2 linked regions of the Arabidopsis thaliana genome follow. The protein of the gene in region 1 interacts with the protein of each later gene in a pairwise test. Each region holds a gene or a part of one and is shown on either strand. Other genes may lie near its edges. The genes, in order: AT1G34750 and AT1G04960.

Evidence for each region.
Region 2: the proteins of AT1G34750 (region 1) and AT1G04960 interact in a protein complementation assay, tested with the Arabidopsis thaliana proteins (one large-scale study listed by BioGRID).

What each region holds. Positions count from the first base shown.
Region 1 is NC_003070.9:12,735,323-12,739,919, reverse strand, and holds AT1G34750 (Protein phosphatase 2C family protein), read left to right. Parts: upstream 1-1,723; 5' UTR 1,724-2,050; exon of another isoform or gene 2,051-2,147; 5' UTR 2,148-2,192; coding exon 2,193-2,231; intron 2,232-2,390; coding exon 2,391-2,630; intron 2,631-2,712; coding exon 2,713-2,989; intron 2,990-3,161; coding exon 3,162-3,316; coding exon of another isoform or gene 3,317-3,343; exon of another isoform or gene 3,344-3,396; coding exon 3,397-3,534; 3' UTR 3,535-3,920; downstream 3,921-4,597.
Region 2 is NC_003070.9:1,407,005-1,412,677, forward strand, and holds AT1G04960 (golgin family A protein (DUF1664)), read right to left. Parts: upstream 3,865-5,673; 5' UTR 3,670-3,864; coding exon of another isoform or gene 3,615-3,669; 5' UTR 3,421-3,614; coding exon 3,181-3,420; intron 3,030-3,180; coding exon 2,948-3,029; intron 2,820-2,947; coding exon 2,752-2,819; intron 2,626-2,751; coding exon 2,524-2,625; intron 2,438-2,523; coding exon 2,348-2,437; intron 2,002-2,347; coding exon 1,927-2,001; intron 1,826-1,926; coding exon 1,793-1,825; intron 1,691-1,792; coding exon 1,613-1,690; intron 1,511-1,612; coding exon 1,454-1,510; intron 1,197-1,453; coding exon 1,017-1,196; 3' UTR 768-1,016; downstream 1-767. Other genes in the region: TAFII59 (TATA BOX ASSOCIATED FACTOR II 59), read right to left, coding at 55-180; AT1G04970 (lipid-binding serum glycoprotein family protein), read left to right, coding at 4,212-4,619, 4,911-5,050, 5,156-5,507, 5,652-5,673.

The sequences.
Region 1 (4,597 bases):
TTGTTTGACTTTTGATTAAATAGTCAAGTTTCGTTGACTTTGCCATTTCGGGCATCTCGTTAAGTTTCCGTTAACAAAAAAATCACAGAATTAACACTCCGTTACCATTTTCTGTTAAAAGTGAAACGACGTCGTTTTGAAATTCTAAATAAAAGAAAAAAGTAAACCCACAAGGATTCGAACCTATGGTCTTTTGCCTTTCAAAGAATCATTAAACCACTGAGCCACGAGAACATATTAACAAAATGAAAAACACATATATATATAAGATATAAATATACAATTAATTAAAAATAACCAAACAAAGATCTATATTAATGCATTTAATTTAAATTATTCTTTCTTAAATTATATAAAAAAAGAAACATATGAAATAGAGAAAATGAAATATATTGCCTAAATAAATGGTTTCTTATATTGTTTCCATCTAATTATGAACATCACATTTAATTATTTGAAGATGGAATGATTATATTTTATGTTTATCTTATATATATATATATATATATATATTACAAGTTAATTTATCGAATAGATATGTTTTTATAATTAAAAATATTTATAAAATTAAATTGAATAAAATTCTATGTGCATGTATAAATTAATCCTATATTTATTTGAGAAGGATTGTATAAATTTTAGCCTATTTTCTAATTTCATAAGTTTCAATTTTTTTCATAAAATAAAATGAAGAAAAAATAAATTTTCAGATAAAAATTCAATGCATTTAGAAGAAATCTCTATATGTAAAATTAAAAATATGATATTTCGAAATGTATATTTATGGTATGTATATTTAATATTTGTACATATTTGGTTATTTTTAATTAATTGCATACGTATATGTTATATAGATCCGTTTGCAATCTGTACTAGAATAATATCGTGGCCCCAATGGTTGAGTGCATCTGAGGAAAACAATACGTATCTGGATCGACGTCGTTATTTTATTTTAGATTTTCGTGGACTCACAATCGTTATTTTATTTTAGATTTTCAAACGACGTCGTTTCGTCTGTAACAGAACATATTAAACGGAAAATTAACGCTGTATTTTTTTTGTTAACGGAAACTTAACGACATGTCTAAAATGGCGAAGTCAACGAAACTTTACTATTTTATTAAAAGTCAAACAAAACTTTACGATTTTAGTGGCATTTTTGAAGTTCATGTTTTGTTCATCCCAAATTTGAAAGTTTATGTTTTTTTGACATTTTTCCCGTTCTATATTTCACAAGTTATTTTTAATTAGTTTTGTGTATATATATAAATATTTCAGTTTACAATAATATCAAAACGTTATCGTAGCATATTTGGTTGAGCGCTTGTAATAATTCTGGAGAGTCATGAGTTTGATTCCTTCTTGGCACATATTGTGTAATATATTTTCATTTTGAAACGACATCGTTTCGCTTCTAACGGAAAATGTTAACGAAAAGTTAACTCCGTTGTTTTGTTGTTAACGAAAACTTAACGACATGTCCAAAATAGCAAAGTCAACGAAACTTAATTATTTTATCAAAAGTCAAACGAAACTTTATGATTTTAGTGGCATTTCGAAAGTTCACGTTTTTTTATCCCAAATTTGAAAGTTCATGATTTTTTTGAGAATGCTAATTAATGATTTCAAGAGTTTTCTTTAATTGAGAATGACGTCGTTTAGCAAATGAATGGATACATAACATGTCTGATTACTCTCTTAAACCAGTTAACAATATTTAAATCATATTGAAAACAAGAGGACAAAGCCAGAGCGACTCTGCTTTTAAGACACGGCAAAAAAGTCAACCAACGAACCCAATAACAAGGAAAGAGATTTGTTTTTCATTTCTAATGGAAAAAAAACAGCAAAAATTGAAGTCTACTCGTCGTAGTAGTCGTCGTCTTCCACTAATTCCGTGGTTTTTTTATCGAAGACTTTTGAATAAAGTACATTTGCAGAGTCTGTCAATAACCCTTTCTTCACGGTATTGCTCTCAAGCCGCGTACTGGTAGGCTCCAAAATTATCCCTTCTTTATGGTTTTTGGAACCTGGGTTCTCCGATTTTGAGGTAATCCTTATGTGGGTTCTTTCTGATTTCGTGTTTTGTTTTATTAAAAGGACTTCTATGTTTTTTTGGGGGTTTCTGAAAAGTTCGGTTTTTGCAGGTTGTTGAAATCTTTGAGTAGATTTTTGTGGAACATCTGACTCTCATGGCGAAGTTATGTTGCTTCGGTTCTTCAGACTACGATGTATGTAATCTCAAATCTTGTCTTTTTTTTCTTTTCTCTTGGGCCAATAAGTGGTTAAGATGGTACTATGTCTTGTTGAGTTTGAGAGATGTCTTAAACATTTTGTGTCTAATGTTGAACAATTATGAGATATGAATTTGTCTTTGTTGGTTGGTGTAGCTTGTGGTTGGGAGGGCATCGACTAGTTCTGGAAAAGGGAGAAATAACGACGGCGAGATTAAATTCGGTTACAGCTTAGTGAAAGGGAAAGCTAATCATCCAATGGAGGATTATCATGTGTCTAAATTCGTGAAAATAGACGGTAACGAGCTCGGTTTGTTTGCAATCTACGATGGTCATTTGGGTGAACGTGTTCCTGCTTATCTACAGAAGCATTTGTTCTCCAATATCCTCAAAGAGGTGTGTAGAAATTTTCACTATTATATAGGCTCTTCACTGCATCTACTGGCTCGTGTTTGAAACGGTGTGTGTGTGTGTTCAGGAGCAGTTTAGGTATGATCCTCAGAGATCAATAATTGCTGCCTATGAGAAGACAGACCAAGCCATTCTGTCACATTCTTCTGACTTAGGCCGTGGTGGCTCAACGGCTGTAACCGCTATTCTGATGAATGGACGGCGTTTATGGGTGGCAAATGTGGGTGATTCTCGGGCGGTTCTATCTCAAGGAGGTCAGGCAATACAGATGACTATTGATCATGAGCCGCACACTGAAAGGTTGAGCATCGAGGGTAAAGGAGGCTTTGTATCCAACATGCCAGGTTAGTCTTCTCCTTCACTCGTTTTTGAAAACCGTCTTTCCTAATCGTTTTATAAAGATGTTTGATTTATTGCAAATCAGGATTTCGCGGTCCTACAGATAATACCAAAACGTATCAAATTCAGATAAAAGTTATCCCAACACATGTTTTATGTTCTGTTTTTTTTTTGCAGGAGATGTCCCTCGGGTTAACGGGCAGCTAGCGGTTTCTCGTGCTTTTGGAGACAAAAGCCTCAAAACACATCTACGGTCAGATCCTGACGTTAAAGATTCATCGATCGATGATCACACAGATGTTCTTGTTCTTGCTAGTGACGGTCTATGGAAGGTAAACAATGATGTTTGTGATTTGTGAAGGAACTGGTTGGCGTTTTTGGATTAAAACGGTTTTGATGTGTAAATGTGTAGGTGATGGCTAACCAAGAGGCGATTGATATTGCGAGAAGAATCAAAGATCCATTGAAAGCAGCGAAAGAACTAACAACCGAAGCGCTTAGAAGAGACAGTAAAGATGATATTTCTTGCATTGTCGTCAGATTAAGGTGATGAAAGATCTTTTGAAACCCACCAAGGAAAAAAGATGGAACAACTAGAAATGGAAGAAACCAAATAAATAAGTTTGATTTTGAAGAGTAGAAGATATTTTTACTTGTGTTTTTTTACCTCCGGTGTAGAATGGTTGATTGGTTTGCGCAATGTTTGGTAATTTGATTGGATTTTTTTTTTTGTGGTTTGTGTAAGTGAAAATGAATCATATCAGATTTGGTGTATAAAACCATGAGAAGATTACTCTCAAGTGGGTGGGGAGTGTATATAAAAAGCTGTGTGCTTCTTCTGATCTATGTTATTAAACAGTTCTCTATTTTCGTTGTTTTTTTTTTCGTTTACAATGTTTGTTTTTTTCCGATAATATACTCGCTCATATATTTTAATCAACCGAAAAAAAATTCAATAGAAATTAAACAATTTATAAAAACTATTTGTGATTCTTCATTGGTAAATAAACTGTGTTTATCTTAAAAAAAACATAGTTGAAAAATTTATTAACAACCAAAACATATTTCGAATACATCGACAACCAAAAATATTCAATATAAATTAATTAATTTGTAAAAACTATTTGTGATTCTCCATTGGTAAAAACTACTCGCCCATACATTACACAATTAGATATTAGAATAATTTACATATTTTTAGAGTAAATACTTGAATCTCTTAAAGTGTATCGTATTATAGACATCAAATGAAATTTATTAAGCGAAGGGTCAAAATGTAAAAAGTATTAATATAACTAAGTTAATAAATTAAACATATGTGTTTTGATAGAAAAACAAGATAATATCAACATTTAACTTACGATCGCCTCTATATGTTGTTCAATTTTATCTTGCATTAAATCGAAGTAACATATGCTTCGTATATGATATTTTGTGTTGATAAAGATAGAGTTATCAATCATCGGCAATAGACTATGGTACAAAATTCTCTAATTGACAACATAAGGGTTCAGAAAGAGAAGGCAGTGGTACAAAGTTTGAAAAAGTACTCCCTAATAGACGGATTATGTGCATATAACACGATCTAACAAAAGGCAGTATTGAAATTATCA
Region 2 (5,673 bases), about 11 Mb from region 1:
TACCAGAAAACTCACCTCAAGAACACAAAGACATGATTAGAAAAAGAAGGTAACCTGCATGATCTCTCGGACACGATACTCAACATCAGGAGCAAGCATAAGAGCAGCTTCAGGTAACAAGTTGGTAATCCCAATACTTTGAGCTATTACCTCAACCGTTTCCTTAGGTACAATGCTCATCTTCCCCAGGCTGCTTATCCACTGTGGCGATACAAGGACACAGAAGAAACATCAACAGTGGTTATATTAAGTAAGAAAAAAGCACAAAAAATCATTGGAACCTCCCAATTAAACCATTGTTGGGCATACACAATGAATCGCAATTCAACAGCCCAGAAGACAAAGGCTGCTTCCATACTCCGTAAAAGTGTGAAATTTGTCCCGTTAACCAAAATTCGAGCACAAAAATAAGTTGGAAATTTACATGAACCGGAGAGGGATTTGCGTTGAGCGACGAAGATCCAGACACTTCACTTGAGAGGAAAGAAGCTCCGATTAACCGATGCCAAGCCTCTTGTTAATATAAGAAGCCGGGCCGGGTTTTTTAATTGCTGTCAAATTCACCCGGTTGGACTATTTCGGGTTAAATTAAATTTGGGCTGTCTCTATATCTATTTTGGGCCAAGGCCCAATAAGAGCGAAATATTTTATTTCTCTGCCAACTAAAGACAATTAATCCTACGAGAAAGGACGAAACAAATGTTTCAAGACAGTAGTTCTGTCTTCTGTGGTAGTTCTTTCTATTTTCTACACAAACAAAATTGATCCAAACACAAAAGGAAAAAGGAGCACAAAAGTCCAAATCAATGAAGACATCAACATACGTGAAAGCCTTAATCACACTCTTTCTTTACAAACATCAAGACCAAATATAATTAGGGGCAAACCAAATTGTTGGTGGATGCAATAACATATGTAGATTTTTCTTCTTTTTACATGAAAAAATAATTGCCAGTCCCAGTATCAGAATTTGGGACGAATACAAGCAATTTCTTTGTATATCAACCAAAATAATATTAGGATAGTCCTGAAACATCCCGTACCCAAGATATTCCACCTGGAAACGCTCTATGAACTCTGCTTCTTCCCGCTGCAGTGACTTTTGTTTTTTCCCCCATCACCATAATTTCTTTCGCCATAACCGGCTTGTGTATTACATTTGCATCCTCTTTGCCTTCCGTCAGAAACCGCAGACCCTGGAGTTTCCATAGTTTTATAGTTTTAGAAAGCCAAAGAAACATCATGACATGAAATCATCAAATAACAGCTACTACCACAAGTATTTTCAGGTTCCAATTTTTATTCGAATAAGCTTGATGAGAGATTGCCTTGAATATATGCAAATTCAAGATCAACCATCTCGTTGAATTTTTTCACTATAAGCAACTTTTTTGCGTCAACAGAATGGAAATGCACATTTATATGATGGAAAAAGGTATAGTAGCATTCTTACAGAGAGAGAAGTATTAGTGGATGGTTTTCCATCAATAGGTAATCTCTCACCAACATCCTAAACCACAAAGCCAGAAACAAGATTTTTTTCATTAAGGCCTATAACTACGTGAAAAATAAGTAAGAAAACGTTTCACTTAATTTGTAAGTTAACACTCACCTGAAATACTTTAGTACTTGTGCTGTCTTTAACGCCTGCAACTTGACATAGATGCCATAGTCCAGAGAGGGTCACATCCTAAAATTTTAACAAAAAAAATATCTGTTTGAGATCAATTAGTTTTAAGAAAATTGATAGCGTGAAGTGGTTTGTAGTATCTAATGGTTGTAGACAAATTACTTGTTTGCTTTCAAGACTTTCAATCTTCCCTTCCTGTAAAAATTTCATATAAGAGAGTAAAGATATATTAGCCCCTTTAAAATATGCATATTAGAGGGCAATGATGCATATTAGAGGGCAATGATGAGACTTACTATTCCAGAAATCATTTCATTAAGTTGCTTAAAATCAAACCCAATTTGCGAAATGCTTGATCTCATCTCAGTAACCTGAATTGAAGCAAGATTCCATGTGAGCATTAGCATTAAAATGAATATCAAAGAAAGGCATAGATGGAGTAAATCGCAGATATGAGAATCAAGCTGTAATTTGAAAGAAACAAAGGACTCTACTGTACATGTGAAGAAAAACAGTTCAGGGCCAAAGAGATAGGACGTTAATAAATAAATACTCTACAATCTTTTGGAATTCCTAAATGTGTTTTAAATTCTTCTAAGATGTTAAATGTACAAGAGGAGATCTCTCTCAGACGAATGTATAAGTATCCTAATCTTAAGTCTAAGGAAAAAATAAGGCATCAATACAAGAAAGTGAGAAATAAAACGGGTTCCTTACATCACTTAAGATCATTTTAGATGTCTCATTCTGCTCTTCCACCTTCCAATCCAAGGTCGCTAGCTTCTGAGAAAGATGTTTCCTTGTTGACTGCGTAAACAAATGCACTAGGTCAAAAAATCATAATGAAATAGAATATATAACAGAGGAAGGTCTCAAAAAAATTATTTGTTCACCGCTAATGTGTCTGACAAATCGTCTAGTTGTTTCGAAACAGAGGCAACCGCATCAGCCATATTTTTCTTTGTCACAAACATTGCATCTGAAAACGACCAGCCCTGCAATGTGGGTAAACCTTAGAAGTCAATGATATATAGTTTACCGGTAAACCACATGTTACAAAACTATAACAAAAGACACATGAAACATAGAGAAAAATAGACAGATTTTAAAGAGATAAACACCTTCCACCACATGTAGCAGTACCCCATAGCTCCAACGGCAGCCGCTGGAACCAGGTAAGATGCATAGCCTACAAGAGCAAAAGCAAAGATTATATCATTCTCTGTTTCTCATAAAAAATAAACATATTTGAAACATTTCCTACATTATCAAAAGTAGTACATAAATATTTTATGAGAAACTAAGACTTGTACATACCACTGGAGTTTGAATCTCCATTAAAGATGGTAACTGGATTGGTCATAGTTAGTTCTTTGATCTCGTTTGCAAGCTGTCGAATCTGGTTATCAAGAGACAACAAAAATTATGTCACTAAGAGGGGAGTCCAGTATTGGCCTAGTGATAAAGAGTGATGAATTATTTTCTATTCCGATTGTTTATGTTGGATCGATGAGAAAAATAAGCTTACAGAGCAAAAGAAAATGAAATACCTGAGCAGCAAGGAGTGCACCGTCATACTTAAAAGGAGTGCTTTCAACTCCTTGAGCACCATTGAGTAAGTCTTGAAGTTGGGCTATTAGGTCAGACAACCTCCCATGTCTCAATACGATCGAACCAGATACACCTTGGACATGATGAAAACAGAACCAAGTGTCATTAAAGGTCATTAAATGGAACATCCAAGCTAGAATAACTAAATCATTCTTGCTACATCCAAGCTGTATTACCATCAAAACTACACTAACGATTGAAGATTAGAAGTTCTGGACCATTTTAGCAAAGTGATCAATCAATTTGCCAAGATAAATTCAAACCCTAACTCTTCATAAAACAATTCCCTAGATTAGAGAGTCAAAGCAATACGAATCGAATTTGATTACAACAAGCAAAGATAATAAAACAAGCATCAAAGTGAGAAAGAGACCTGCGCCGAGTAGGATAAGGACCTTAGAGGTCTGAACACCGGCTTGCATCGCCATGAATTCCGGTTACAAGCTGAAAAAGATTCTCGATTAATTCTCTGTTCCGTGTCGCCAAGCCACCGCGAGAGACCAATTATGACACCCTTTTGCCCTTTAGACCTCAATTTTAGCTTTGATTTACCACAAAGATAAATACTTTTCAAAACTTATGTTCTTACCCCCGAAGCTTCCAATTTTAATCGAACTATTGTCCTTAGACACATATTAGAATATTTAACACCACTTGAGCTTATATACATATCAAACGTTAATATGTACAGTATATACAATTACATATGTATTTATACTTTTATTGCCCTATAGACCTCAGCTTTAGCTTTGATTGACCAGAAACATTAATATTTTAACAATTTATGTATTCACCCCAAACACTTCCTTTTGAATCAGATTACCCCAGAAGGCAATGCAAATCGAATGACTAAGGTTATTTTAGACATTTCTCAATAATCCAAACCATTACGCAACTTCACTGTATTAACCTGTTTTCTTCATCGAAGAAGATAGAGAGACCAAAACAAAAAAAGCTTTGAATATCCGCCATGGATGTTGGACGATGCTTTCTCTTTCTTCTATTACCAAGTTTCTTCTTCTTGCCTTCACAAACGCAGAGCACCGATTCATTCACATCGGTTCTCGTATCTCAAAACGGACTCGATTTCGTCAAAAATCTTCTAGTTAACAAAGCTATCGCGTCGATTATACCTCTCCAGATTCCCAGAATTGAGAAATCTATGAAAATCCCGTTCCTTGGAGGAATCGATGTTGTTGTCTCGAATCTCACGATATACGAGCTTGACGTTGCGTCATCTTATGTTAAGCTTGGTGAGACAGGTGTTGTCATCGTCGCTTCAGGGACGACTTGTAATTTGAGTATGAATTGGCATTATTCTTACAGTACTTGGCTTCCTCCTATTGAAATATCTGATCAGGGTATTGCATCTGTTCAGGTAATTATGATCAATTTTACTAATTCTTAGTTTTGATCATCTCAATCTTGTGAATCAATGGAAAGACAAGATTTTTCTTGCGAATCACAAATTTCTGTTCTGTTTTGTATCCTTATGTTTCGTGATTGTTATATGTCTTAGAACATAGTTGCATATGGGAATCAGAGGTGACTGTTGCTCTCTGTTTACCATTTCCATGTGTTGGTTTTAGTTGTTGCTGTGATCTGCTCATTTTTATATCTGTTTTACAAAGGGAATTTGATGAGTGCTGATTCTCGCCTTCTCGGTAAGGTTCAAGGCATGGAAATCGGGCTCTCTCTAGGCTTGAAAAGTGATGAAGGAGGCTTAAAACTTTCTCTTTCGGAATGTGGATGCCATGTGGAAGACATTACCATTGAGTTGGAAGGAGGAGCATCATGGTTTTATCAGGGGTACGAAATAATTTGCTTATTGATGATAGATCCACTCCCTCTTATTGCAAGACAGGTGTTGGTTTGTTTTTCATTTTAAACTTCATTCTCTTCTCTGCAATTCAGGATGGTTAATGCATTTAAAGACCAAATTGGGTCAAGTGTGGAAAGTACCATTGCCAAGAAACTCACGGAAGGAGTATCAGACCTTGATTCATTCCTACAAAGCCTTCCAAAGGAAATCCCAGTGGATGATAATGCTGACCTTAATGTCACTTTCACCAGTGATCCTATATTGAGAAATTCATCTATCACTTTTGAGATTGATGGCTTGTTCACCAAAGGAGAAACAAATCAAGTCTTAAAATCCTTCTTCAAAAAGTCTGTATCTTTAGTTATCTGCCCTGGAAATTCTAAAATGCTCGGAATTTCAGTTGACGAAGCTGTTTTTAACTCTGCTGCAGCTTTGTACTATAATGTAAGTTCCTAATTTCCTAATTCCTTAGGTTCCAACTAGAAAGAATGCTCTTGATAAAACTGTTCTATATGTTTCCGATACATCAATATTACTGTTTTCCACCGTTGTTTCTAATATGAGGATGTTCACTCTTGCCATATTCAGGCAGACTTTGTGCAATGGGTTG